Bombyx mori: one gene and its partners. The protein of the gene in region 1 purifies or fractionates together with the protein of each later gene. This does not show direct contact. Links are inferred from orthologs where the notes say so. Each region holds a gene or a part of one and is shown in the gene's direction. Other genes may lie near its edges.

What was found.
Region 2: the proteins of DNA-directed RNA polymerase III subunit RPC2 (region 1) and GPN-loop GTPase 3 purify together in Homo sapiens (affinity purification with mass spectrometry; 3 studies listed by BioGRID and IntAct, counting the BioPlex papers as one, with this or other methods). This does not show direct contact. The link is inferred for Bombyx mori from reciprocal best matches to the Homo sapiens genes POLR3B and GPN3.
Region 3: the proteins of DNA-directed RNA polymerase III subunit RPC2 (region 1) and DNA-directed RNA polymerases I, II, and III subunit RPABC3 purify together in Homo sapiens (affinity purification with mass spectrometry; 5 studies listed by BioGRID and IntAct, with this or other methods). This does not show direct contact. The link is inferred for Bombyx mori from reciprocal best matches to the Homo sapiens genes POLR3B and POLR2H.
Region 4: the proteins of DNA-directed RNA polymerase III subunit RPC2 (region 1) and DNA-directed RNA polymerase III subunit RPC6 fractionate together in Homo sapiens (co-fractionation; 4 studies listed by BioGRID and IntAct, with this or other methods). This does not show direct contact. The link is inferred for Bombyx mori from reciprocal best matches to the Homo sapiens genes POLR3B and POLR3F.
Region 5: the proteins of DNA-directed RNA polymerase III subunit RPC2 (region 1) and prefoldin subunit 2 purify together in Homo sapiens (affinity purification with mass spectrometry; 3 studies listed by BioGRID and IntAct, with this or other methods). This does not show direct contact. The link is inferred for Bombyx mori from reciprocal best matches to the Homo sapiens genes POLR3B and PFDN2.
Region 6: the proteins of DNA-directed RNA polymerase III subunit RPC2 (region 1) and DNA-directed RNA polymerases I and III subunit RPAC1 purify together in Homo sapiens (affinity purification with mass spectrometry; 7 studies listed by BioGRID and IntAct, counting the BioPlex papers as one, with this or other methods). This does not show direct contact. The link is inferred for Bombyx mori from reciprocal best matches to the Homo sapiens genes POLR3B and POLR1C.
Region 7: the proteins of DNA-directed RNA polymerase III subunit RPC2 (region 1) and calcitonin gene-related peptide-receptor component protein purify together in Homo sapiens (affinity purification with mass spectrometry; 5 studies listed by BioGRID and IntAct, with this or other methods). This does not show direct contact. The link is inferred for Bombyx mori from reciprocal best matches to the Homo sapiens genes POLR3B and CRCP.

What each region holds. Positions count from the first base shown.
Region 1 is NC_085116.1:7,720,257-7,724,342, forward strand, and holds the start of DNA-directed RNA polymerase III subunit RPC2, read left to right. Parts: upstream 1-1,286; 5' UTR 1,287-1,513; coding exon 1,514-1,588; intron 1,589-1,966; coding exon 1,967-2,298; intron 2,299-2,882; coding exon 2,883-2,995; intron 2,996-3,927; coding exon 3,928-4,086. UniProt on the Homo sapiens protein: Catalytic core component of RNA polymerase III (Pol III), a DNA-dependent RNA polymerase which synthesizes small non-coding RNAs using the four ribonucleoside triphosphates as substrates.
Region 2 is NC_085122.1:14,098,448-14,102,745, forward strand, and holds the start of GPN-loop GTPase 3, read left to right. Parts: upstream 1-1,498; 5' UTR 1,499-1,775; coding exon 1,776-1,820; intron 1,821-2,312; coding exon 2,313-2,509; intron 2,510-3,119; coding exon 3,120-3,334; intron 3,335-4,298. UniProt on the Homo sapiens protein: Small GTPase required for proper localization of RNA polymerase II (RNAPII). May act at an RNAP assembly step prior to nuclear import.
Region 3 is NC_085130.1:16,021,253-16,025,547, reverse strand, and holds the start of DNA-directed RNA polymerases I, II, and III subunit RPABC3, read left to right. Parts: upstream 1-1,495; 5' UTR 1,496-2,298; coding exon 2,299-2,591; intron 2,592-4,295. Other genes in the region: H/ACA ribonucleoprotein complex subunit 4, read right to left, coding at 1-1,203. UniProt on the Homo sapiens protein: DNA-dependent RNA polymerase catalyzes the transcription of DNA into RNA using the four ribonucleoside triphosphates as substrates.
Region 4 is NC_085131.1:5,845,520-5,849,766, reverse strand, and holds the start of DNA-directed RNA polymerase III subunit RPC6, read left to right. Parts: upstream 1-1,447; 5' UTR 1,448-1,553; coding exon 1,554-1,741; intron 1,742-1,906; coding exon 1,907-2,111; intron 2,112-2,187; coding exon 2,188-2,439; intron 2,440-2,844; coding exon 2,845-3,081; 3' UTR 3,082-3,580; coding exon of another isoform or gene 3,581-3,912; 3' UTR 3,913-4,247. Other genes in the region: putative OPA3-like protein CG13603, read right to left, coding at 3,581-3,912. UniProt on the Homo sapiens protein: DNA-dependent RNA polymerase catalyzes the transcription of DNA into RNA using the four ribonucleoside triphosphates as substrates.
Region 5 is NC_085129.1:194,080-198,164, forward strand, and holds prefoldin subunit 2, read left to right. Parts: upstream 1-1,285; 5' UTR 1,286-1,641; coding exon 1,642-1,775; intron 1,776-1,857; coding exon 1,858-2,155; 3' UTR 2,156-3,693; downstream 3,694-4,085. UniProt on the Homo sapiens protein: Binds specifically to cytosolic chaperonin (c-CPN) and transfers target proteins to it. Binds to nascent polypeptide chain and promotes folding in an environment in which there are many competing pathways for nonnative proteins.
Region 6 is NC_085131.1:5,579,017-5,583,082, forward strand, and holds the start of DNA-directed RNA polymerases I and III subunit RPAC1, read left to right. Parts: upstream 1-1,266; 5' UTR 1,267-1,864; coding exon 1,865-1,918; intron 1,919-1,997; coding exon 1,998-2,298; intron 2,299-2,679; coding exon 2,680-2,799; intron 2,800-3,271; coding exon 3,272-3,454; intron 3,455-3,550; coding exon 3,551-3,778; intron 3,779-4,066. UniProt on the Homo sapiens protein: DNA-dependent RNA polymerase catalyzes the transcription of DNA into RNA using the four ribonucleoside triphosphates as substrates.
Region 7 is NC_085116.1:3,015,504-3,019,649, reverse strand, and holds the start of calcitonin gene-related peptide-receptor component protein, read left to right. Parts: upstream 1-1,346; 5' UTR 1,347-1,364; intron 1,365-2,027; coding exon of another isoform or gene 2,028-2,194; intron 2,195-3,918; coding exon of another isoform or gene 3,919-4,146. Other genes in the region: uncharacterized protein LOC101741169, read left to right, coding at 2,028-2,194, 3,919-4,146. UniProt on the Homo sapiens protein: DNA-dependent RNA polymerase catalyzes the transcription of DNA into RNA using the four ribonucleoside triphosphates as substrates.

The sequences.
Region 1 (4,086 bases):
TTTTTTTTTTATGATTGAGAGATTACTGGTGGCCCGAAGGCCTTTCCAGTTTCACCAGGACAGGTGGGCGAGCAAAGGCTCAGCCAGGAGGGGTGGGATTTGCTAACAGCTGCCCGAGCGCCTCCGAAGGAGACCTAACAACTCAAGAGCAATTGCTTCGCGAATGAATCTACTACCGGATCGGAATCGCGACCCGCTGAGAAGATCCGGTGAGAAGCTCAGCGGGCTGATGCATGGGCTAGGTTGCACGTCGACCTCTTTGTCGAGTTCGACGAGTACGGTTACTGGGGTCCCTAAGCCTGCTCCTAGTATTAGAGCTGAAGGCATCTAATGCAAAGGTTATTGGATCTGATGGATCCGTAAGGACGTGTCTAGGGCGTCGACGGTGACTGGCTCCTGCATGATCAGGATTCGGTGAGTAGTCAGCGGCGGCAACGATAAGGCGATTATCATGACGCATATCCTTATCGAAGTACCGTTCCGACGCTGACTTCATGTATTTCTGGATTGATTCAAGGCCCAGGTCGTCGTGTATTGTCCGAACCGTACCGAGAATTACCGAATTTATACGATGTCAAGAAAAGGGATGTCCAATATGCGTGTTTGAGGATGTTCTTTAATAAAAATAAAGTTTAACTTCTTACGCGCGTACATAAGTACACGCACCCTTTTTTTTTTGTTTATTTAGAGTTTCTTCAGGTTTAAGCGCCTTATTCACGATCCATCACGACTGTACGTCAGCTCAAGGCCGCAATTAATAATAATTATCGACGTACGTCAAGCCTATTCATGATCCTTTTGCATCGTGCATCGTGCATGGCCTTGGCGGGACGTACAGCAAGATGGATCGTGAATAAGGCGCTTTAAATAGGTAATCGGTGGTTTATTAACTGTCTATTATCTGTGAAAGTGCATAAATGTGGGAAAATGAAACAAAGCTGCTGAACGTAACTTCTCGGGATCCTCGAAAATCCACTGAAAAAGTCTCAGTAAATGACCACCGTTTTACTGAGATTATATTTCATCCCATATCACCTCATCTCATTTTATTTCGTTTTAATTTCATTTCATTTCATGCCATGTTTTATATTAATCGACTTTATTTCATTTCATAATATTATTTTTCATTTACCTAAAAAAACTTTTCATTAAAATTAAAATAAGACTTGACCTTGACTTGGTTTTAGTTACCAGGTCATAAAATCCCTTAAAAAAAGTATAGATGGATTTAAAAATTATTTATGGGCACGCTGTATGGGCTTAGATCCCCTTGCCTTTCTTAAAGGAAAAATTGTACCAAAAAAATATCTATGAGTTTAAAGTTTGTAATTAAATGTGCAGAATTGTGCTCGTGTTTGTTCGTTGTTAAAAATTGCACTTATTGTTTACATATGTACTCATCTGATTTGTTCCATTCTATAAAACAATTCCAAGATTCCATCGCTTGGTAAATACGGACAATATGATTTACTGCCGAAGATAGTTCAATATTACAATAGCTTATTTAATTTACATGATGGGCGAACTTAATAAAAAACAAAATGAGTGGGATACCAAAGGATTACGGGACCCTGTCAAAACCCTTGAGGTACTAGCTTTATTACTTTTCTGAATTACTACTATTGTTTTGATACACAATTGAAAAAAAAATACACGAACTATAATATTACTACTAACCAAACAACAAAATCATATAACTGTCTTTAAGATTTTGTTCATTCATTGATATTTAATCACTCCAAAGTTCAATTGTATAGTAACAAAAGTTGTAAGTGACAATATACAGTTGAGTTCAAAACCCTACCAAAGTATGATCATAATTATTTGAATAATAAAATGTATGAATTTTATAGAATAACATCATAAAAATCTTAGAAAAAAATAGTACAATTTACTGACGTCCTGATTTTATCTTAAATTTCTAATATTTCAGCTTAACACTGTTCATATGAATGTTTTCTTTCAGGATAAATGGAAATTAGTGCCTTCATTTCTTCAAGTTAAAGGTTTGGTGAAACAGCACATAGATTCATTTAATTACTTCATAAATGTGGAGATAAAGAAGATAGTACAGGCTAATGAAAAAGTATTTTGTGAATCTGATCCACTGTTCTATATTAAATATTTAAATGCCTATGTTGGTACACCTGACTTGGAAGAAGGGTTCAATATCACTAAGCCAACGACACCTCATGAATGTCGTCTTAGAGATATAACATACTCAGCTCCTATAACTGTTGATATAGAATATATTAGAGGAAACCAGAGGGTGATCAAAAATAAACAACTGATTGGAAGGTAACATCTTAAATAAATGAAGAAATGCATATTCTAATACTAGCAGATGTAATGTTGCTTGATCTATTACTATATCTTGATCTTACTCACTAAAAAGCAGAACATTCCAGGCTTTAAAAAATTCTGTATTATACATATCAAATGAATTTAACATTCTGTACTCCCAATTGAAAATATCCTATCTTAAAAACAATTCAATGAAAAGCTCGACAGAGAAATTATGTTTTATTGTTTGTCCACCCCACCCAATGTAACTCAGTTAAAAATTGATTGACTTATGGGCTGCAACTATTGATGATGTAGGAATTTAAGTAGTTCATCATCTGCCTTTTACCTATCTTCACGACACATGTCTGTCAAAGTATTAATAAAGTAGTCAAAGTAAAAACAGTTTTTGTGTCAATATCAAAGTAATAGTATCACAAATTTTTAACATGTTAATGATTCCTTTAATTACTTTAACATTAGGTCTTTGCTTATGAAGTTTAACAATACTGGCCATTTGAAATGTAATTAAATTATATACCTATTATTAACATCACTCTCATATATCATTTTGAAATCTGTATTTTGATTCTTTACAGAATGCCCCTCATGCTTAGGTCTTCAAACTGCGTTCTTACTAATAAATCGGATTTTGAGCTTGCACAGTTAAATGAGTGTCCCCATGATCCTGGAGGCTATTTTATTATAAGAGGTAAGAAACCAATTTAATTTTATACAACTAATATTAAAAAAAAACTCCAATGTATATAAATGTAAAATGTACATAAAATATTTAAATGTGTAATAATTGTAATCATAAAGTTAAATTTTATTAATTTGTTAATCTGGAGTAAAGTACATTGGGAGCCTTATATTTAGTCAGAATAAAAATAAACGAAAATTTAAATAAATATAATATAAAGAAATATAATAAATAAATATAAAGAAAAACTTTAAGTTAAAAATACATAGAATAAAAAATTTGGCAAGACTTAAAGCATAATAACCTAACATTGACCACATTAAGGTTGCATTTCACACTACATTTGGGTTTTTTTTTGTGGTCTAAATGAATGAAATACTGAGTTCTCTGTGAATATACAGTTATGAGCTAGGTTTCTAGACAAAATAATATGGTTTTAATGAAACACATTTATTAACAGTGCTCTAAAACAAAGTTAAAGACAATCAAATTCAAATTATCATTTTAACGATACTGTAAAAATAACTGCGTTTGAACGTTCAAAGAGATGATCTGATTGAGTAGCATAGCCAAAAAATATGCTAAAATTTATCTAAATTTCTAAAAAAAAAAGAAAACAGTTTTGGGATCCGAACACTATTGGTTTTGATTTCAAGAGTGACAATATTTTATTATTCGATCACTATTGCATACAGTTACATGGAGTGAATTCAGTTAGTTTTATATTGGCTTCATGTACGCTTTTTCATTTATGCAGCCCCTTTAATAGAAGTTCAATGGATGTATGGTTTTTAAAATGAAATGTATTTTTGTTTTTATTTTTCCCTGCACGAGTAGTACCTAGCCCCGTACCCGCTTGACCTTGAGTTTCAGGACACCTGTATAAGTACATATATATGTAGTTTACTTGAGTAATGAAAAACAATTTTTATTGTCTGTAGGTCAAGAAAAGGTGATTTTAATTCAAGAGCAACTCTCTAGAAATCGAATGATTGTTGATGAATTCAAAGGAGCAGTACAATGTCAGGTTACAAGTTCCACACATGAGAAGAAAACTAGAACGAATGTGATTCTTAAACATGGAAAATATGTGCTCAGAC
Region 2 (4,298 bases), on another chromosome or scaffold:
TTTAGTGCTAGAAACTTTGCTCTCTTTTATTTATTTTATAATAATAGAAGACGACTGTAATTTATAAACGCAATTTACTGTTTGAACCATCCATATATTAAAACCATATATTAAAGGTAAGTCTCAGTTGTTATTGGTTTTAATGTATTTGATAAAATAAAAATACATGTAAAAATCTGTTGTTTTTGGGGATATCGGGGACGTCTCAGGTACAAATAACAACGAAAAAGGGGTCAATTGGGATGAGAATAAATGAAATGGAAACGACCTAAGTATAAATAGGCACAGGTTTGTAGGGCTATCTATGTAGTTATAACAATATTTTTTAAATTTGTTGGTAAGAATCTGGTTTATTCATGATGTTTTTGTCTACAACTTTTATTCAAAATTATCAATACAGTGTTATTTTATTGTTTGGCAAATATTTATATATCAGTTACGCGTTGTTTTCTATTTTTAGATATGCCTCGCGTGTACGTATCAAAGAGTGCAAATCCTTATAAAAGATATGATCCCTTAATATAAAAAATTATACAGAATAGAAGGCTATGAAATTAGGAATAAGTCTTTAGTTAAAATAGCTAAGCAATTTAACATAAGTCGGTTTTGCACAGACTTGTGACAAGAACAATGAAATCTCATGGTGGACAAAAATGTCTAAGTAATACATAATAAAATATTTTAATATTTGTCCAAAGTGGGGGTATCCACTTGATAAATCCATGGAATAACGGAAACAACTAAGCTCTTCAGATAAAAATATCTGCCCTTAAGTACTTACTAAGAACTAAGAAATATAAACCGCTTATAAGAAAGCCCGCTCGTTCGCATTTAGGTGCTTACCCTCTCTTAAACAGAATCGTTTGGGACTACAATAATGTCCACGGTAGCGCGGTCTCCTTTAATGTTCATTCGGAGTTGTCCGATTGCGCTGAACTAGCTTTAAGTGATGAAATAGATGTTTTTTCTAATTGTCTCACAACTTACAGGAAAAATCTGTCGCGGATATTTTTCCAAGTAAATATAAGTAATTATTAATTAATCATAAGTAATTAAATCTAATCAAGTTTTAGTTATATATTTTATATTTTTGTTATCAATGCACTGTCGATTGCACCTATGATTGAGGTGACATCTGCCATGTACTTTTGTCAGTTTTTCAATGTTTTTTATTGATGATCACTTTGTTGGTGCAACTAAATAAATAAATTAAAACCAAGGAGTGCCAGCCCTAGCAAATTTCTCTATTAACACTAATTTCGTCCCCAATAATCGCAATTTCTGGGTAAATAGGGATAACACCTATTTTTGCTTAAACTGGAATGCTCATTACATAGCTTTAAATTGGATAACAAAGATACCCTTAAGACTCAATCATTTTGGTGCCGATATAGCATTTTAAACATCAACAACTACCATAACATTGTTCATCAAGTTGGAATTTGTCCCTAATCACCCCATTTTACCGGTATACCTACGTTTTAAATGTCAATTGTCACTATTGTCAGTGTCAAAATCTCACCATTGCGAGCTGTTGTATAAAAAAACGATTTGAAAAGTTATTAGCTGGAAAATAAGGGCTGTACATGCACTAGGATTTTATATATTTGACTATAACAGTAATACAATTTACAGAACACGTCTTGAAGTTCAAAATTCAAAAAAGATAAAGAGGCGATAAGAAAACAGGCAGCTATGCAAAGATAACCTATTCGTTCTAACAAAAAATATAAACCGTGTTAACAACTCATGTTTTAGATCTAAACAAAAAAACAATGCGTTACGCTCAGTTAATAGTGGGACCAGCCGGAAGTGGAAAGGTATAATATTTTAGTACCTTTTTTTTTTTTTTTTTTTTTTATTGCTTAGCTGTGTGGACGAGCTCACAGCCCACCTGATGTTAAGTGGTTACTGGAGCCCATAGACATCTACAACGTAAATGCGCCACACACCTTGAGATATAGTTCTAAGGTCTCAGTATAGTCACAACGGCTGCCCCACCCTTCAAACCGAAACGCATTACTGCTTCACGGCAGAAATAGGCGGGGCGGTGGTACCTACCCGTGCGGACTCACAAGAGGTCCTACCACCAGTAATTACGCAAATTATAATTTTGCGGGTTTCTTTACGTATGCATTTTTTCTATGAAAAACTTTTTTTTTTATTTACTAAAAAACGAAGAAACTTAAGTACGTTAAACATCTTTAATCATCTTTTGATAGAAAATACAAAAATGTAATGCATGTTCCTTAATCAAATCATTAATACTTATATGGTAAAATTCTAATATATAAAATTACCCTATTTGTCAGTCAACATACTGCTCTACAATAGTGAAACATGCAATGGACTCCAAACGCATTGTAGATGTAGTAAACTTGGACCCAGCAGCTGAACACTTTGACTATGAGCCACTCGTAGACATCAGAGAACTAATACACCTTGATGATGCTATGGAAGATGAGGAATTGCAATTTGGACCAAATGGTGGTCTAGTGTTTTGTATAGAGTGAGTGTTTTGTATTGTTATTGTAATTCACTGAAACCCACAATCACCACAAAGTAAATACTGTTAAGCCTTTGGCATTATGAGCACAGGTGACTTACCCTTCAGTATGTATGATGATTTTAAGTAAAGTTTTACTATTAATTTTCTTATTTTAATAGGTAATTACATAGGCCTTAATTTATGTTAGGAGGGCAATGAGATGGTAATTGATAGTTGCAACAGTAAATGTATTATTGAATATTTTTTTATTGCTTAGATGGGTGGATGATCTCACAGCCCACCTGGTGTTAAATGGTTACTGGAGCCATAGACATCTACAACGTAAATGCAAAACCCACCTTGAGATATAAGTTCTAAGGTCTCAAGTATAGTTACAACGGCTGCCCCACCCTTCAAACCGAAACGCATTACTGTTTCGCGGCAGAAATAGGCAGGGTGGTGGTACCTACCCGCGCGGACTCACTAGAGGTCCTACCACCAGTTATAATAATGCTGTTGGTGTAAGTAATAATGGTGCTTACTGTTACTTTGCCACAGAAAAAAATGTACAAAAATTGTAGGCTGATAGAAATTGGCCAGTAATAACCTGAAACAATATTTACAATTTCAGGACCCTCTTAGAGAATTCTGACTGGTTAGAGGAGCAACTTGGAGATGTTGATGATGATTACATTTTATTTGACTGTCCAGGACAGATTGAGTTGTACACCCATCTGCCGGTTATGAGAAGATTGGTTGATTTGCTTCAGAATTGGAACTTTAGGATATGTGTAGTGTTCTTAGTGGACTCGCAGTTCATGATTGATGGTGCAAAATTTTTATCAGGTTAGATAAATTTTATTGCTAATTTGTGTGGAATGAGCAGGGATCATGAAAGTTTTGAGATTGTCTTAATTTAATGAACTAAAAAATATGGAAGTTAATGCTTTGACAGTGGAAATGTGTGTCTCATCAGAGGCCAAGATCATTTTTGAGGAGTGAGACATCTTACTATTGTTCATAGACAATTTCACATAAGCATTACCAGCAGCAAGTAAACCTGTCAAACATAAATAGAACATAAGTACATATTTATGCACACTTAATAATGCTCCTTGATAAGACAACCTCCCAAATCATTACTAACGCAGGGTGATGACGACGTTGTACCCTGTGAGCATACACTTTATCATTTTGCTTACTGTAGTGTTCTTCAATCGTGAATTTTTTTCATTGGAAAAGTGAATATTTGTGTGCCTTTCAGCTGCGTATCGCAACAGAAGGCGTTTTGATCGATCACTCTCTTTGATTGTAAAGATTGATTAAGGGCATGTCTTGTATATCGACGATATGCACCGAGCTTCAGGTCTTGTTTTATAATACGCGACAGAGTCCTAGCGGGAATATTCATTTCTCGCGATAAGATTTTTTCGTCCTAGTGGGGTTTCGACGAATGCTGGCTTTAACAGCATTAACAGCCTTTGTAGTTCCAACAGTACACGGCCGCCCCGATCTTTTCTGGTCTTCGACAGACGAAGTTTGTTGTATCTGTTCATAGTACGGTATACGACCATACGGCTGATAGCAGGCTTTTAAAGTGTCTGGAATATGACCAACAGCTCCATACCCACTTTATGCAAGGCGATCACTGATTCTATTTTCTGTAACACCCCATTCCATAAGGTAATTTTATAATGAGCGAAAAAATATGTGAAATGGCGCAAAATCGAAAGGAGTTTAAAAAATAATAAACGTGTTCCAAATTCAAAATACATAAAAAAAACTTGAAAAAAAGAAATGTTTTAGTGTT
Region 3 (4,295 bases), on another chromosome or scaffold:
GCCATATTTGTCAAGTTTCCCTTGTTGTATGAGGATTTTTTTCTGTGAGGCTTTCGGTCCGAGACCCCATTTTCTGGGGTACGTGTCTCGTTCCATTATGACACGCTTGAGTTTCGCGGCTACACCATGATCGCATGAGGCCATCGTAGACGTGGTCATCAGAGCAACGGCCAACGCTACTGCCTCACCTTTAGTGGTGACTATTACGATTTCTTGGTCAACTTCGATGCCGTCTTCGTATCTTAAAATACCTGGTAACAGCACTTTGGCTCCGTAGCAAACAGCATTAACAGCGCTGTCTTTGATAAATATCCTTTTGTGAGCAATCAGGAGGCCTTCCAGAGGTTTGATTACTCGACGAAGATAAGTCTCGTCTTTGTGGTTTTCATACGACCATTGTGCATCTAGGATGTCGTGCATCGTGACCATGCCTTCCTTCTCGCCCTGAATGCCGGACCGTACTCGTCTGAGTTCGATCATCTGACCTCCGACGCCAAGCATCAGACCTAAATGCACACACATCGTCCGGATATACGATCCAGCCTCGCAACTAACCCAGAACACCCCAATATTCTTGTCCTGGTCGAAATCCAGGAGTTTACTGTCGTACACCGTCCTGACACGCAGTTGTCGCTTCACGGCCGATATAAGCGGGGGCCTCTGGAATAGAGCTCCACGCAGCTTCTCCAAGCCCTGTGTGACTTTTTGAATATTCTCTACGGCTGAATGCAAGTTGAAAACGGCTACATACTCTTTGCCAGCGTTCTGTTGTGATTTGACGAGTCTCGTGGCGCGGTCTATGCAAACGATAAGGCAACCCGTAACTTTCGGATCGAGCGTGCCCGAATGACCAGTCTTTTCGACTTTTAAAATACGTTTTATCCATGAAACTACTTCGTGGGAGCTGGGGTTGCTCGGTTTGTCGACGTTGATGAAGCCAGATTTGACGTAATCAGAGATGGGGCGTTTTAAAGGCGAGTTGCCGAATGGTAGCGGCGTGTAATGGTTAGTGCGCACATTTAAGCGATCGAAGTTTTTCAACAACAAAGGCCAGTAAGCGGTGTCCAGCTTCTTCACGCTCTCCGAAGGTTCGATTTTGAAGTCGCCAATTGTCTGAAAAGCTCCCAACGAAACACCATCCTTGTTTTTTTTCTTTTTCTTCTCTGAAAGTGTGTCGTTACCGGGCTGCAGTACCTCCGTCATTTTGATGAATTAACACGTATCTTTTCTTACTCTTAATTTTAGGCGATCGACGCAATCACTTGGGTAAACAATGCCCTATAATCGGGCACTGTTTATTGAAAGAACTTTGAAAATATAACACAATGCTCGGCCATATAGCACGTGCGATTCGGTTGAGGTTAGCTTCAGATTTGTTTGCGTATGATTATGGTCAGATGGCGCCAACGTGCAAAGCTCGTTGTGCCAACATTAAAACAGAAAATAATTCGGATACTTGTTAATTTTTTTAACCTTAAAGCAGAACATAAACATGTAATATTTTTATTGGACTGAAGTTTTATACTTTTTCGTTTATTATTGATAATTTTAATAATATTTTGTTAGTTTTTGACACTTAAAAACAAAAACGATTTCCAAAAAATGCCACGAAATATCGTAGTCACTACTTACACTAAAAATATTAAAGAGAAAATGGAACTTAAACGTAGACCGAAATATACATTTATTCAACTCCTAAATTTCGTACATTGTCTTGGCCTATTTATCATTAGATAGGCAAAGAGAACTAAAACTATGCCGCCGAATTTTTGTAACAAAAAACTATATTATTATCGACAAGGAACGTACAATGGAATAATTTAAAGACAGAACCCAATCCCCTCAAAATCTTAACCGTCCAACAGAAATCCATCAATTTCATAGTTGGGAATTTGCTTAAAGTCCAACAGAGATTATGGTAGACCCAAAAAAATAAAAACTATTTAACATCTTGTCCTTCCACCAAATCCTTATCAACTTCTTTCACTCTCACTTTAAATAGGAACTAACTAGTAAAAACAAATCTAAGTAGTCCAAATATATAATATAGGTAAAATGGGATTCTTTTTTTCAGTGTGAGATATTCCGTCAAAGTATCCAAATATTCAGTACCTATACTTCAAAAAAAAGTCACACTTGACATTGACATTTATTATCAATGTTTTTTTTACATAGACCTATATAGTATTTTTAGTGCCGTAAAATTTCAAACAGCAACAGAGTCAGCGTGCTTCTTTCTCATACTGTCCGTTGTTGATATTGTTTTAGTAAAATAAATTCACAGGATAAAACTTGATCATGGCGGGCGTGCTATTCGAGGACATTTTCAACGTCAAAGACATGGATCCGGAGGGCAAAAAGTTCGACAGAGTCAGCCGATTGCATTGCGAATCGGAGTCATTCAAAATGGATTTAATATTGGACATTAATTCTTGGATATATCCAATGCAACTAGGCGAAAAGTTTCGTCTAGTTTTGGCCACGACGTTGAGGGAAAACGGATACCCTGACGGCGGAGAATGGAACCCTCTGGAAACCGAAGGAAATCGAGCAGATAGTTTCGAATATGTCATGTCCGGAAAAGTATACAGGTTAGTTCTAACATAAAGGTGTTGTAGCGGCAGGTATCGTACAACAGAAGATATTTTACAGATGCAGTTAGCAATTATACAATTTCCTAACGATCATATTCGGAACGTCGAACTACCGAGCAAAATCATGTCCTCAGTGGAAATCTTTCCTTATAATGAAGCTACCTGTCACATTAGCTCCTCAATTTGATGTTGAAGTGGATGAGAGCCGAAAACGGCTCAGTGGTGTGGATTGGGAGACGCCCATGCCCAGCAGGGGACGCCTTGGGCTAATGATGATGGTGATGGTGATGATGATGAACACTTGTAATATCTATGTGGTTATAAAGTCTATATAAACCAATTTAACAGTATTATGAGTTTTGTACATAGGCAGAGTGGCACCTTCCTACAATATGAGGTACCACCACCACCTGGAATCAAATAAATCATAAATTTTGTGGGTTTCGTCATCATCGTCAGCCCACAAACGTCAGAACACAGACCTTTCCCATGACTCACCTCAATGGCTGGTCCTGTGGAGCCTGCATCCAGCAGATTCCTGTGACCTTTAGCAGGATATCAGAAAACCGAACAGAGCTGCCCACTCTCCCGGTGTACTATGGCCATTTGTGATCAATTTAAAAACTCACAAAATTTATCCATTTGTGATATTTCATTGCCTACCATTCATACTTACCTATGCGATTTGAACACTGGCAAATTTCATCCCTTAGTATGAGAATACAGTGTTCGATTTGTGATTTGATGTACCCACCAGATATGAAAATCTACAGATAGCCAATAGGACTAAAAGCAACTCCTAATTTGAAATAGCTGCCAAATGATTAATTAGTTCTCAATTACAAATTTAACGCAAACTCAACTGGGTTACGTTTAGTTAAGGTTATGTTTAGTTAAGCAAAAACAATGATATACTGTTTGTGTTACTATTTATGCTCCTGTATCAAAAATTAAATATATTCTTGTCCCTGAAGTAGTCTGGCTGATATCAGTGGAAAAGTATTCCATTGGAACTACTGCAAAGTAATCATTGTTGGACTAATAATTGTTGTATTTAATGCAATTGAGTGTACAGTGAAAGCTCTTCAGAAACCGTGAATATGGAATGGTAATTTATATATATCGGATTATAGAGGATACATTCCTAGGTGACATAGTAAAAAAAGTCTTTAGGCATAGTTGTGATAAGGTCTATTTTACTTTTTTATTTGTCCATTTGATGACAAATTTTCAAAATATGTTCAGTTCTATACCTACATATTGGAGTCCTTTTTATCAATGTGTCGAACCCGTCGCTTGCGATGAAGGGCTCGACGAGCAAATTAACCCATAGACACAGCCCACTGAGTTTCTCGCCGGATCTTCTCAGCCTGTCGTGTTTCCGATCCGGTGGTAGATTCTGCGTAGCACTGCTCTTGCTAGGGCCAGTGTTAGCAGCACTCCGGTTTGAGCCCCGTGAGCTCACTACACGTTAGGGGGAAGCTGATATAGCCTCTCAAGGCTATCAGCATAGGAAAGAATAAAAAAATTAAGCAATTTTTTTTTTTATTGCTTAGGTTTGTGGACGAGCCCACAGCCCACCTGGTGTTAAGTGGTTACTGGAGCCCATAGACATCTACAATATAAATGCGCCACATACCTTGAGATATAAGTTCTATATTCTCAGTATAGTTACAACGGCTGCCCCACCCTTCAAACCGA
Region 4 (4,247 bases), on another chromosome or scaffold:
ATGATTTTGAATTTGGAACACGTATATTATTTTAAAAACTTTGTGGCGTTTAAGTACGCACCTTTTTATGATGCGTAAGCCGGAACGCACGAGAGGTGGGAAACAGAATATAGTCTGTGACACGGGACCTTTTTTTTACCGCCAAATATTTAAAACGTAAAAACAATTTATAATGTGTAAAATAACTAATATAATATAATTAGCTAGAATTGTTTATGCCGCTACATCAATAAAATTTATATTGTTTCAACTGTGGTGTTAATTACATAAAACACGACTTTACGGCGAAAGAAAGACTCTATATGAACTCCCTCAACTTCTTTCGATTTTGCGCCATTTCACATATTTTTTCGTGTTCATTATCAAATTACAATATGGAATAGGGTGTTAAAGAAAATAGGTTTGCAGTAATCGCCTTACACAAAGTGGATATGGAGCCGTCGGTCATATTCCAGACACTTCAAAAGCTTGGTATCAGCCGTATGTTCGTAAATTGTACTATGAACAGATACAAAAACACTTTGTCTGTCGAAGACCAGAGAAGGTCGGGGCGGCCTCGTGGTGCTAGAGCTACAAAGGCTACTAATGCTGTTAAAGCCAGAATTCGTCGCAACAGCGAAAAATGATGATTCCCGCTAGGACTGTCGCAGATTATAAAACAAGACCTGAAGTTCAGTGCTTATCCTCGATGTACATAACATGACCTAAATCGATCTTTACAATTAAAGAGAGTGGATCGATCCAAACGTCTTGTGTGCAGGTGAATGGCACAGAAATATCCTCTTTACCAATAAAACAATTTTCACGATTGAAGAACACTACAATAAGCAAAGTGATAGTATAATTTAGGGTATGCACACCGTTCTGAAGAAGTGCTATAAAGAAGTGTTCTGCTCAAGTGATCAAAGGAACAACGTAGTCATAATCCTGCGTCAGTAATGATTTGGTGAGGCGTGTCTTATCAAAGAGTCACAAAACTACATTTTTGTGAAAAAGGAGTAAAAACTTCAGCCAAGGTGGCTGATTGAAATTAATTTTTTGGCGGGAACGCGAGGAGTGAAGTTGTGTGTATTGTTTTATTTTGTTTATTTAGTGTTTCTTCAGGCTTATTAACTGCTTAGTATCTGTGAAATTGCACAAATGTGGGAAAATGAAACAAAGCCGCTGAACGTAACTTCTCGGGATCCTCCAAAAAGTCCACTGAAAAAGTCTCAGTAAATGACCTCCATTTTACTGAGATTATATTTCATCCCATATCATCTCATCTCATTTCATTTAATTTCATCCCAGTTGATTAATGTCTCAAATTAATCATCTTTATTTCATTTCACTCCATAATATCATTTTTCATAAAAATATGAATATAAATTAAAATAAGACATGACTTAAAGGTCTTAGTTACCAGGTCATAAAATCCCTTAAAAAATATATATATTTGTTTAGCCCATAGAGTTACTATTCTAACTAAGGTACTTATTAACTCCATGGTTTAGCCCAAGCCCCAAAGCATATTCTAATAAATCTAATACACAAACGCTTAATATTTTCCAAAAATGAGTTCCGAAGATACAAAAGAGAAAATACTAAATCTTGCAAGAAAAAGCTCGAAAGGAATTACAGACAAGGATATAATTGCTGAAATACCTGGCATATCATCAGTAGAACTAGTAACTGCTTTAAATGATCTGCTGAAACAAGAACGTTTTGATTTATTTAATCAAAACGGATCTTTAATTTATAAGTACGTTAGCAAAATAATGAAGGTGTCTAAAGATATTAGCGTAACTAATAAATATAGTCTATTTATAGAATTTTTAGAGAAGAATTGGAAGATTTAGAGAAGAATTTTCAAAGAACTTGAAATAATATTAATAATAATAATATTATTAAATTTTATTCATTTTAGGTTGAAAACTCAAACAAATAAGCACGCAATCAAAGGAGCAGATAATGAAGAAAAGGTAGTCTATAATCTGATTGAAGAAGCAGGAAATAAAGGAATTTGGATTAGAGATATTAGGATCCGTTCGAATCTTGCAAACACTCAACTGACTAAAGTCCTCAAAAATTTGGAAAGTAAAAAAGTGATAAAAGCTGTGAAATGTGTTAATGTAAGTAAATTTAATTTTAAATCAACGAAGATCTATCTGATACTTAACTTACAATTTAAACCTGGTTAATTCACAGGCCTCTAAAAAGAAGGTTTATATGCTTTACAACTTGGAACCAGATAGATCATTGACAGGGGGAGCTTGGTACCAAGACCAAGACTTTGAATCCGAGTTTGTAGATGTCCTCAATGTACAATGCCACAGGTTCTTGAGTCAAAGAGCTGATAATATGAGAAACAATCCTAGGGGACCTGTTTTTGGACGAACACAAGCTTATGCTACTGCTACTGAAGTCCAAAAATATATTACTGATCTGGGAATTAGTAAAGTAAGATTTTACAAACATACACTAACTTTTTTTTTTTTTTTTATTGCTTAGATGGATAGACGAGCTCACAGCCCACCTGGTGTTAAGTGGTTACTGGAGCCCATAGATATCCACAACGTAAATGCGCCACCCACCTAGAGATACAAGTTCTAAGGTCTCAAGTATAGTAACGACGGCTGCCCCACCCTTCAAACCGAAACGCATTACTGCTTCACGGCAGAAACAGGCAGGGTGGTGGTACCCACCCGCGTGGACTCATAAGAGGTCCTACCACAATACACTAACTTGGTCAGCGAACATTTTAAAATACCATGTAGATTTAATTAATTAATGTTTCATTTATATCTACTTATATGATGTTTATTATTACATCAACGTTTTGTTAGTGTTACTTTTCTTTTACAGGTTGTATTAGATGTTGATGATGTAACAACAATTTTAAACACCCTAGTGTATGATGGGAAGGTAGAAAAAAGTGTGTTTCCCGATGGAAGTAATGTATATAGAGCTATAGAAACTCTTATACCATCTTCAGGCCTTGTTCAAGTGCCATGTGGAATATGCCCCTTGATTCAAAGATGTAATTCCTCAGGACTAATTACTCCACAAGTTTGTAATTATATGACTGAATGGTTGGAATAATTAAAAAAAAAATATAATTAATAACATTTTTAATACCTATTTAAATAAGTATCATTGATCTAGTTAAAAGAATATAAGCTTCCTCTACAAATTAAATTGTGACTAGAGACATTATACTTAAAAGCATTAAATAATATATTTCTGTTGAAAACACATACTATTTTAATTCTATTATAAGTTCAAAATTTTTGCTTTTAAAACAGATATTTGTAGAACATTACTTAACAATAGAATACTTAGTTACAATATGAATATTGTGTGCACATTTGAAAAACCAATACTTTTATAACTGTAGATAATTTTATATAGTTAAAATTACGTAACTTTTAACTGAGAAAAGTCTACTTTATAACTTGTCACACAGAAGGCTCCTGTTTTAAAGCAATTTATTGCAAATTAGTTATGGTCAACAACAATTTTGCAACAAATTATTTAACATTCTAGTGGTCATTTCAACATTTTAATGCAAGTACAATGTGTAATTTATACTGTAAAATCCTCAAAATAAACTTCTAAAATTATTCTCGATATTATGCAAAATACCAGAGAGTACAGCTGGCTCCCTCCTATTTCTTGTAAATTTATCTTCATCTCTTTCTTTCTCATATTCAGTATTATTTTTGGGGAAAAATGAGCTAAATGCGTCCATTTGTATATAATTCAACGACTGCAATATTAGGCCTTTATTTGGATAAGGTGTGGGACTAAGAGTTGGTGAATTGTGATTTATATGTTCAGGAACGTGATTATTTAGTGTGGCATCTGGTGGTGATCTCCCATTTGTACTATCTTTGTCAGAGGATGGGCTGTTTTTGGGTGCTTGATCTCCACCTATTAAAAATAGAAAATAAATTGATGATTGATATATTTACATTGTTCTTAGAATCAATACTAAGAAAAAATTTATCAGCAAGCTTTGTCACCAGTTTAAATATTTCCATGCCATAGTGTGTGATATTGATAATATTACAATTTCTGAGATGATAAAATAATTAGAACCTGTACACCACATGATATCAAGCAATAAATATGCATGACAGACTCAAGTACCAACCATACTCATAAATTGAGTTTTAGCGCCAGTCAGAAGCAACAAAACAAATTGCAAACCAACAGTTCGAATTAGTTGGAACTATGTTAACTTAGTGATAAGCAAAAAGTAAAGA
Region 5 (4,085 bases), on another chromosome or scaffold:
AATAGGGTGACACTCTACAAAACTTGCGTACGCCCTGATATGACCTATGCAAGCGCAGTGTTCGCTCACGCGGCCCGCACTAGCTTAAAATCATTCCAAGTTATTCAATCCCGTTTTTGCAGGATAGCCGTCGGAGCTCCACGACGACCTGGACTTAGAGTCCATCAGTAAGTATCTTCAGTCGGCGTCAATGCGCCACTTCGATAAAGCGGCACGACACGAGAACCCTCTCATCGTGGCCGTCGGTAACTACAATCCCGATCCTGCGGTGAGAATGGAAAGCTGTCGACGTCGCCCCAAACACGTCATTTCGGATCCTCCCGATCCACTAACAGTGCTTTTAAGTACCTCAAGCACCGGTCATCGTTCTCGTCGAACCCGTCATCGTTCTCGTCGAACCCGTCGCTTGCGACGAAGGGCTCGACGAATAAAGTAACCCTCAGACACAGCCCACTGAGTTTCTCGTCGGTTCTTCTCAATGGGTCGCGTTTCCGATCAGGTGGTAGATTCTGCGAAGCACGGCTCTTGCTAGGGTTTGTGTTAACAACATCATCCGGCTTGAGCCCCGTGAGCTCACCTACTAGTTAAGGCGACACTGATATAGCCTCTCAAGGCTATCAGCATAGGTAGGAAAAAAATAATCTAATCATACTTACTTGGCGTAGGGATACGGTGATCATGCAGGCGGTTTCCCCCAGGGTGAGGCTGCTCCATTGCACTATGGAGTGGTTGACCCTTGCGATAATTTTTATTTTTTAAAGGTTTCACTTCTACCGTGTGTGACTTGCACACACGTCACACATACATTTTTTTTTTCTTATCTAAGCTGGGTATTACGGATAAAATGTTCCTACCTATAGTCCTAACCTTGCACCTTCAGACTTCCACCTGTTTCGATCTCTTCAGAATTTTTTAGGCATTGTCAGGTTAACATCACGAGAGGACTGCCAAAACCAATTGTCGCGGTATTTTGATCGGAAGCCCCATAGCAATGGGATCATGTCCCTACCTACAAGATGGCAAAAAGTTATCGAACAAAATGGTACCTACATACTTTAGTTAAATGTAAATAAACAATATTAAAAAATGTGAATTTTCTTAAAAAATGCGAAGAAACTTTTTCCCCAACTATTGTACTATTAGAACTTAGTAGTTTAAATTTTATTAGTAATAGACAAAGACTTTAATGCTTTTAATCTAAGGATTAGGATATTATCAAAATACGTCCCAAAAATGCTTTTTAAATATAATAGATGCTTTTCAGGAGTTGGTTGTCATGACTCAAACTTATCTCAAGTGTTTCACAAACTATGGTCACAATTTATTTGAGGGTAAAGATTTTCTTGTGAAGTAATAAAAAAAAAAATTGCCTAAAAGGTAAAGTAGCCAGCGTTCGCAAAAAAAAAACTGACATGTACATTAATGTACATAACCTAATCCGTGTATTCGATAAAAACTAGTTAATTTGAGTTTTTGTTAATTTAAAATACATTTACATGTTCTTTTATTTTTAAAACTTTCAGTAAACCGTGATTATTTTTACTTTTCAAAGAGAGTTAAATTGATTACTCTTTTTTTAAAACTATATAAAAAAAAATCCTAAAATTTTGATTTCCATTTCCCCTACCTACCTAGAGTAAAATGGCTAAAAATACATCAAAAGTAGGAAAAAAAACGAATGAGGAAATCTTTGCTGGTTTCCAAACTCTTCGTAATGAACAACGTCAATTAGGGAGTAAAATATCAGAATTACAAATGGAGTTAAACGAACATAAGTGAGTAAATGTGGAATAAATCTATTGCATATCAATCTACTGCTTAAAAAAATACAAAATACATAGTAAATTATGTCTACAGGATCGTAATTGAGACTTTGCGGGGAGTGGAGTTGACCCGTAAGTGTTTCCGGATGTTTGGGGGCGTGCTTGTCGAACGCACCGTAGCTGAGGTGTTGCCAGAGCTGATCAGCAATTATGAACAGCTACCTAAGGCCATCCAGTCCCTAGAAGACCAACTCACTCAGAAGGGAGAGGAGATCAATAAATACATTGAGGAACATGATATTCGCATCCAACGTGCTGATCGCACCATGCCTGAACCACCTCCAGAGCAATCCACCTCTACCAAGTCTAATGTGCTAGTTGCTAGCGGTTAACTATACTGATCCTTTCATTTCATATAGCTGTCGCAGTGTATTGACAGTGAGACTAGTCCTACATTTGCCTAAAGCAGTGTGAGGTAGTACTGGGAAACTTTTTATTATTAACAATACTATTACGGTGTGGCTTGATAAATTAGTTCTGGCTGATGTTTAGGGGCAAGGGGGGCAAACATGGTATTATGAAGCAGTACTTTATGAATATGATGACAAGAAAAGGAAAATCTAACTGAATATCCATCTCAACCAGATAAATAAATCATTTTAGTGTGACAATACTCCAAGACACTTAACCACATATTTAAAGAAAGGAATACTACAGCGAAAACTCCACAGAGAATAATTAATTCCCCAGCTGAATGTGCTCAAATAATGTGGAATTAAACTCAATAAACAGTTTTTTCAGGCAGTAGAATATGAACCCTTGTCTAGTGGAAAGTAGTATGATAATAAACTTTAATAATAAAATAGATCTTGAACAACTTTTCAACACTTTTCATGGAATATGTAATACAAATGCAGAGAAGCAGTCTCTTTGTCCCAACAATTATGAGAATAGCTTCATTTAAGAAGTCAAGACAATATGGAGTTTTTTGTTGTTGTCCTCACCATTCTTTAACAATGTCTAAGGTGACAGTGATATATTTCTAATCAAAAACAATAAGCTTTGAATGTTTAAACTCTAAACATTAGAGTAATATATGAGAGAAAAATAATTTAAATAGTAAAATGTTTTCCACATTGTGCTATATGTATATTCCCAATGCTGTCACAGCATCTGAAGCTCACCTATGCAGAGTCAATGTGATTGGTAGGCAACTGTAATAAGTAGAAATATCACTGAAACCTTGAGAGTATTGTTTAACTGTGTACATAGCTTTAAGGTTTACTGCTATTTTGAAGTGTTTGGCCAGTTAACAAGCCTGAATGCCTGAATTTTTCATTTGCCCTTGCCCAGACGAGCATACGGCTCACCATTGCCAGGGGTAGAGCCAACTTACTGCCAACAATTTGAATGATATACTATACGCATGTCCGAGTTCAGAGATGAACTATGGCAATCAGGTAATAACTTTGTGTAAAAAGTCTCAACTGAAAAGTTAATAAGTTTGGATAATTTATTACTTGCACCATACTCTAAGTGAGCATGGTTAGATTATTACCTTATTTCTATGGACAACTATACAATATAATTAAAACTTCCTATACTCTTAGCAGGATGGTGACATTCATAATGTTGTCAGAGGTCTGATAAAATTTTAATACCAGGTGGGATGTCACAATAAAACAGTGACAACTTTTTCTGTTTCATCAGGTGAATTTTAATATGATTATAAAACATGATCATGGCTAGATTCATATTTGGTTTTAATTTTTGGAACCTTAAAATTTATTGTTACTTAAAATAAAAATAGCCAGGAATAACAAGAAACTTTATTTTATAATATAGAAAAGAATAACTAAACAAAAAAAAGTGTACTAATATTTATTTCATGTAAAGTAATTTTGTATAAAATATATTTCTGAAAAATTCATTTTTGTAGTTTGGACTTGTAAGGGTCTGACGACTAATCTCCAATACTGTTGATACCACAGAGGATAACAAACAATTGGCATGCAAGTCCTTTCGTTGACATGTTTATTGTAATCCAAACTTTACATTTAGTCGGGCCCTGCCTTCTTACCTCCATGTATCAGGTGGGGTATTAGAAACCACAGTGGATGGATTTAGGTTTTTTTACAATGTTTCCACTTAAAATAGTTCTGAGTGTTGTGCTGGCGAACTATGGCGTCTAGTGGAGCCGCACGGCGGGCGCCACTAACATCCATTTTATTCCAAGAAGCAGTTACGTTCAGGTAAGGTGGAACCTTCAAAAGCAATTGAGATTTCGAACTCATATTTCTAGGAACGAAATGAAGTAGAATG
Region 6 (4,066 bases), on another chromosome or scaffold:
GAGCCAACGCGCGGCCGCGTTATCGCAGGTGACGCCGGGCTGCTGCGCCGGCAGTCCGCCACAAAGCCTCGTACTGATCGCGCGTTTCTCTCATTATTGTATTTTCATATATTTGTTAGTCGTTTGTTTTGTGTCTCGTTAATTTGTTAATAATCTGTAGTGTATCGTGTTGTCGTAATATAGAACTATTTCTCGTATTGTTTCGTTTAATTTTTTATATCCAGTAAACTCCAGTCGTGCGTCGGAGCGGACACACACACTTTTTTCATTTCTTTCTGTTTCGATTTACATAAAACAGACACGACTTCACTTACTGTAACAAAAATTAGGATTGTATGGTCTTTGATCCTTTTGCCCAGCGAGTTGTCAATTCAAACAAGTAAAAACCTCTATTTATTTTCCAATACGGTACGGTACCGTACCGTAAAATGGGGCGATTAGGGACAAATTCCAACTTTATGAGCAATTTTAAGGTAGTTGTTGATGTATATAATGCTATATCAGGATCAAAATGATTGAGTCTTGGGGGCATCTTTGTTGTCTAATTTAAAATTATGCAACTAGCATTCCAGTTTAAGCAAAAAATGCAAAAATAGGTGTAATCTCTATTTACCCGAAAATTGCGGTTAATTGGGATGTAATGAGAAATTTGCTAGGGTTGGCACTATTTTTATTTTTATATATAGTTTTAATTTATTTATTTATTTAGTTGCACCAACAAAGTGATCATCAATAAAAAAAAATGAAAAACTGACAAAAGTACATGGCAGACATCACCTCAATTATAGGTGCAATCGACAGTGCTGATATTTCTATCTGGGTTAAGAGATTAGGTGTGTCGGTTATTCCATGGATTAATCAGATGAATACCCCCACTCTGAACAAATATTAAATATTTTATTATGTATTACTTAGACATTTTTGTCCACCTTGAGATTTCATTGATCTTGTTACATGTCTCTGCAAAATCGACTTACTTATATTAAATTGCTTATCTATTTCAAATAAAGACTTATTCCCAATTTCGCTTCGAATAAACCAGATATTTACCAACAAATTCAAAAAATATTGTTATAACTACATAGACAACCCTACAAACCTGTACCTATTTATACTTAGGTCGTTTCCATTTCACGTATTCTCATCCCAATTGACCCCTTTTTCGTTGTTATTTGTACCTAAGACGTCCCCAATAACCCCAAAAACAACAGATTTTTACATGTATTTTTATTTAATCAAATACATTAAAAGCAATAACAACTGAGACTTACCTTTAATATATATGCTGGTTCAAACACTAAATAACGTTTATAAATCATAGTCGTCTTCTATTATTATCAAATAAATAAAAGAGAGCAAAGTTTCTAGCACTAAAATAATGACCACCACAGGAAGTTAATTTGAAACGCGATTTTTTATAAGTTAGCAGCTATTATCATGCATATTCAGAGTTGTTTTGTGAACTTTCAACATTCTACTATTAAACTACAAAAAATGGAAGATTTTGCAACGAATATAAAACTTATATTGAGCGTCGAAAGATTTTCCCGGTTTTTTCCCGATTCGCCTGTCAATCCCTAATCGCCCCATTTTACCGGTACCGTACCTATGTACCTACATAAGTACAAACTTACATTACTTACTACATAGTCAAAGTTTAAATTACCTACTAAAAATTACTTAAAATCACTACTTAAGTGTATAATCTATGATCACTACCTTACGTAAAATCATCGAAATATTTAATTTTGTCAATTATATCTGTATAAAAATATGCGACAAACTTTATATACAGTAAACGTTACTGTATACCTGTGAAATAAGATAAAACCTTATTTACATTAATTAGTAAAATATTGCAAAAATGCCTAAATTCGATGAAAAACCCCGAGTTTTTCTTGAAGAATTCCGTGTTAAGGTTCTCCTTTAAATTGCAAGACTTATTTACAACGATAAAAATGCACATGATCATAACCTAATAATTTTTGCCCGTACAGAATGCACCCGAAGATTACGGATTAGACGATGAAACATGGGACTTCAAAAAGTTTGTGAAGAAGTTTAAGATAGTTGTAGTACGAATGGACAATTTCGAAATGGAATTTGACTTGATTGGGATCCAGCCAGCATTTGCGAACGCATTCCGGAGACTCATGTTAAGTGAAGTTCCTAGTATGGCTATTGAAAAAGTAATGATCAAGAACAACACTTCTATAATACAGGATGAAGTTTTAGCACACAGATTAGGATTGATTCCTCTCAAAGCTGATCCAAGATTGTTTGAATATAAATCTGAAGGTTTGTGTACAAATTATTACAAAGCCGAGACCATATGTGGGCATTCGTTTTGGAAGATGATTGTTTTCTGTGAAATTGGTTGTCTAATTATTTTTTATTTATCAATTACGTAAACTAGTACACTAATAAAACCACAAATATTCATTTTTCTAGTATCCTAAAATTGACAATTTAGAGCTGGAATGCAAGATGTTATTAAATACTCACTTTTATACCTCAATAAACATTTATATCTCATAATCAGTAAAGTTTTCACAGCCTAAAGGATAAGATGCCTGGTCCATTTTTATTATTGTAACTATGATGAAATAAAAAAAGTTAACAGAAAATAAAAGAATTGTTTGAGCAGCTCTTGTAAATAATTTGAAATTTTATTTTCAGAAGACACGGAAGGAACAGAATTCAACACTTTAGAATTTTCACTAAAAGTAAAATGTACCAATAGCAAGTCACAACCAAAAGATTCATATAGAGCTGAAGATTTGTATGAAAATCATAGTAGTGAGTTTTCTGTATATCAATATAATAATGTGTAACAAACAGCCTATTAATGTTTTTAATATAACAGTAGATCGCAGATCAGCATATGGCCCTGGTATTAAGCTTGCTGCAGTGCATAGATATAGGTGATTCACTCACATTAAGATATGGGATTGAAGTTTCCATTCCATAGCAAAACAGCTATCCTTACAAACTGGATTCCTTTGCAGTAGAAATGGACAAGATAAATTATGACTACCAATACCAAACTTATAGAATGTTACTGCCATTTTCTGGTAAATTTTTTAGCCACCTGTAACAACACCATGGTAAGATATAGAGTGGTATTGTTGTATGCTGATAGGACAGAACACAGAGCTGATTTTTTGAACTATGGACTAATCTATGAAATTTATATTTATAGTTTTTTTATATAATGCTAGATGATTTTGTTATTCTTAATACTTAGTTAATTACAAATATGTTTATACAGTTTATTCATCCCATATGAAGTGGCATCCAATTGGCAACCAAGCTACAGTTTATAAAGAAGCTGATGTGGGTCCTGTACATAAGGATATTCTTATATCAAAAATGAGACCTGGCCATGAAATAGACCTTCAAATGATTGCCGTGAAGGGCATAGGAAAGGATCATGCAAAATTTTCACCTGTTGGTTAGTCCCTTCTTATGAATATTTTATAAAATGAGATAAGCTTATTTTAATTATTAAAAAAAATGGTTTAACTAACATATCCATTTTATTCTACAGCAACAGCTACATACAGATTGCTGCCAGAGGTAACACTGACTCGTGAAGTTTGTGACAGTGAAGCCACACTGTTGCAGAGTTGTTTCTCACCAGGTGTTATTGGTATTGACTCTAAAAACCGAGCATATGTGAAAGATGCAAGATATGATGCATGTAGTCGTAATGTTTATAGATATGACACAATCAAAGATTCAGCAATCCTAAGTAGAGTTCGGGATCATTTCATATGTAAGTAGCCATATGTAAATTAATGAAATCATAAAAATGCCACAAATAATTACATGTGCAACAGTTTTTTTGCTATCAATGCTGGTTACCTCAAGGGGGTCTAGCTTCACCTAACGTGTAGGTAAGCTTACAGGCTCAGTCTGGCGAATTTGCTAACACTAGCCCTAGCAAGGGCAGTGCTTCTCAGAATCTACCACTGGATCGGAATCGCGACCCAGTGAGATGATCTGGTGAGAAACTAAGTGGGCTGTGTCTAAGGTTTAATTTACAAACCCAAAAATCTAAAAA
Region 7 (4,146 bases), about 4.7 Mb from region 1:
AGATCCGGCGAGAAACTCAGTGGGCAAAGCTCCCTTAAACACACAGACCTTTCTGAACGTCAGAGACAACAGGTCGGGTTTTAACGTTCGCCGTATCTGTAATCAAAACTAAAGGATAGATAGCGTAGAGTAATCGTAATCCGACTTTTTGGCTCCGATTTCGAAGACTATATAGGAGGAGTATTGATCTGGTTTCACGGGCACAGCGACGACAACGTAATACCAACTTAGTATATAAGCTAAAATTTCACGCACGCAACAATCTAAATGCACCTTACAAACTTAGTTCCTTCACAAGGCCACGGTTGAGGTAGATACGATTTTACAACATCAAATTTACATAATGATACTAAACGATAATATAATATATATATATATAGTGCCGTAAATGTTATCTGTAGCTTCAGACGTACGTTACAAATATTCGAAAAAGTGCGATGACACGTTATTATACACATTTGATGAACTTATAAAAATGGGTTGTTCGAAATGTTACAATATAAATGTCAGTAATAAAAAAGCCATCTATAAACTAGTTTACGAATGTTAATTAAATTAAAACTATGATACAATCACTAGTTTCGTATAATTAATATTAATAATTAAAGTTTTAGGAGTAAAATTGAATAATTCCAATATTTTCTGACATCGATCACAACGCATGACGTCATTTGTGGCTAATCATTGTTTTTGTGTATATGGTAAGCTCGTCACTTATTCTGACCTCTAATCAAGTTGCACGTGGTGGGTCGCGTTAGGTTAGGTGTGTTATATCAAGTTTGAGCGGAGATTTCTAAAAATAGGAACTGTCAATCTGGTTGCCTATTGTAGACGTCAGTGACTCTTATGCGATAAAAATTCTACAATTTATGAGAGAGAGGATATGGGTATATGTGATCGACCAGTTGACTGGGACCCACGGATGCGTTGTGACTGCTCTAGACCCAAGTCCAGCATGAACTGGAAAGTTCATCGTTCCAAGACAAATATTCTTAATCTTCTCGAAGCATCTTTATGCAAATTTCCCGCTGTCTTTTGCCAAAGCGGTTTGCTTTTGTTTAAGCTACGACTTCCCAATCATCCCTTCCAATCTTTTGTATTCCAACTGATAAAAATTCCTCTAAATATTGTATGTTATTTTATATTAGAATTATACACAACGTTACCGCGCAGTTTGAAGGGAACACCGGTAATCACTTATTCAGATAGTCCCTGAGCTCGTCTGCAAATGTAAGGTGATAAAATTTTAATGTAGCTTTAATGTTAGAAACTTTGTAAATAAAATGTTAGTTGTTTGTTACAAAATTATTGCACAAAGTTCGTGACATCACCGCCATTATTGTGTTGAGAGAGAGAGAGAGAGATACGAGATTTACACAATACCTCTTATTCGTCTTTTATAATTGTATGTACTGCGAAAAATTATATGTCATCACACAAATAATATCGCTTCTGTTTTCATTTTTAAAAAGGTACTTTTAATGGTACTAACGTAAAAATATAACGCCGAGCAACGGGCGGCGGTCAACTAACCTGAACTAGGGCTTCAGTAGCTCAGAGGAACTAAATCCCCTCTGAAATTCTGCTGTGGAAGGACGCGGGAACCCACCACTAGCAATTTTCCCAAGTAAACCTTACGTATGTATTCCGTAAAGGTCACGATCCTTAGCACTGAGGAACACGACGCACGGAGGAGGAGGCTAGCATTTATTACTTGCGCATGTACATTTTTTTTCTTACCTAAGCTGATAGCCTTGAGAGGCCTCAGCGTCGCCTTAACTAGTAGGTGAGCTCACGGGGCTCAAACCTGATGACGTTGCTAACACGAACCCTAGCAAGAGCCGTACTTGGATCTGAAACGCGACCCACTAAGAAGTTCCGGCAAGAAACTCAGTGGGCTGTGTCTGTGGGTTGTCATGTACATCGTTTCCAAATTCAAATTTATATGAATTTTAGAGCCTATAAAGAATAGTCAGGCCTATATCGTCATCATTCGTCGCTCGTATTGAACGCAGTGTTCCGCGCAGGTGGTGGACCCTCGGCTGGTGGCCGCGTTCGACGCCCGCGAGCTCGAGCTCGTGATAGCCGGCGCGCCCGAGCTGGACGTCGCCGACTGGAGGAACCACACGGACTACCGCGGCGGCTACCACGACGCGCACCCAGTCATACTCTGGTTCTGGCAGGCCATCGACAGGTACGCGCTGTTCAGCGCGCTCAGTGCGAGTTTTTTAACGTTCTCGATAGCGTAAAAGTTAACCCAATTTTGTATGCAGTTGGAACAGCGCCCCTAGCGGCAAACGTACGCAAACGATCCCATTCGATACAAATATGAGCTAACTTTTACGCTATCGAGAACGTTAAAAAACTCGCACTAAGCACACTGATCAGCCTCATTATGACTTTTCTTGGTATAACAGTCGAAGTCAAACGCACGTGCAGCCCAGAGGCGAATTATCCGTAAGGCAAACTAGGCACGTGTCTAGGGGCGTGTAGTTACAAGGGGCGCGCGAGCTCAGAATTTTTAAATAAATAATGAAAATAACATATCGACGATTAAGAACTAAATGCTGATCTATAATCTAAATCTATAATAGATTATATTGCACAAGCATCGATATACTCGTATTTTGCAATATTGCGGGTTTGTTTGTATTTCATTCGCGTATGAGCGTAAGTACAAAGGTCCTGGTCTACTAAAGTCTAGGGTTTGATGATACAACGTCATCGTAATTGTAAAAACAAATAGCTAAAATTTATAGTATTATATAAAGGCGCCGATAAATTGATTTCCTATGGCGCTCTGGACTTTTAATCCGCCACTGATACAGTCTTCTCGTGGGTAAGTGGATACCGCCGGTCGCGGCACAGACACCGACTTCCGTAAGCAAAGCGCTTCCCGTAAGATCTTACAAGAGTTATGGTCATGTAATGCTACACACCGGACTGATTGAAATGACATTAAAAATGATGCCTTATGGCGCGCCGAAGATAAGGTCTATTGCAATATCAGTGACAAATACGTTAAGTAAATTAAAATAAATTACAAATATTATTTATATATTTGTGATTTGTCAATTTCCAAGCAACGATAAGTCGTTGGTTACGATGTGGTAATTTGATAGTGATTTCAAAATTGAAATTCAAATTACAACATAAATGTTGAGTGAAGTATACATATTAAAAATGAATACAATATCATTATACATTTTTTTATTCATTTATTTGGTCCTAACGGTAATCTGATCCATGGTTAATGAATTTCTCTCTCTGAATTTTTTTCAAAGGAAAACATTTTTTCTACTCAAATGTTCTAAAAATAGTGCAAAGTCGAACAGGATGCGGCGAGGCATCCCGTTTTCATTCTTCTAAAATTAACGCTGCGACAAAAATGTAAAATAATAATTACATTCTCGTAACTTCAATACATTGAAACGTCGGTTTCTAAAAGAAGCATAACCCTGAGATAATATATCAGCGAAACAAACTCAGTGTGCTTGTCAAAATTTGTATTTGTATCCTCTTTTTTTAATATGAGGATATAGTATTAAATGTATTGGACAAAAAAACAAATGTAACGATATAAAATGTATGTAATGATAATTACGTGTTAGATTTTTTAAGTTACTAATATAGATTATAAGTAATTCTTATTAACAAAACTGGCGACCCGCCCTCGTTTCGCTTCGGAAACTGTAATTTATTATTGATTTCTCCACTATTTAATGGATATTATACATATAAAACCTTCCTCTTCAATCACTACCTGTTAAAAAAAACCGCATCAAAATCCGTTGTTTAAGCATACATAGGGACAGAGAAAGCGACTTGGTTTTATACTATGTAGTGACAGTGATGATATGGTTTAAAAAAAAAAACTGAAATAAAAGTATAAATAAATAAATACGATATTTCCTTCAGGTTCACAAACGAGCAGCGGCTGAGGCTCGTGCAGTTCGTGACGGGCACGTCGTCCATCCCGTACGAAGGGTTCGCGGCGCTGCGCGGCTCGACGGGCCCGCGACGCTTCTGCGTGGAGCGCTGGGGACGCGTCGAGTCCCTGCCGCGAGCGCACACCTGCTTCAACCGCCTCGACCTGCCGCCCTACCCCACCCCGCAGCTGCTCTACGAGAAACTCCTGCTCGCCGT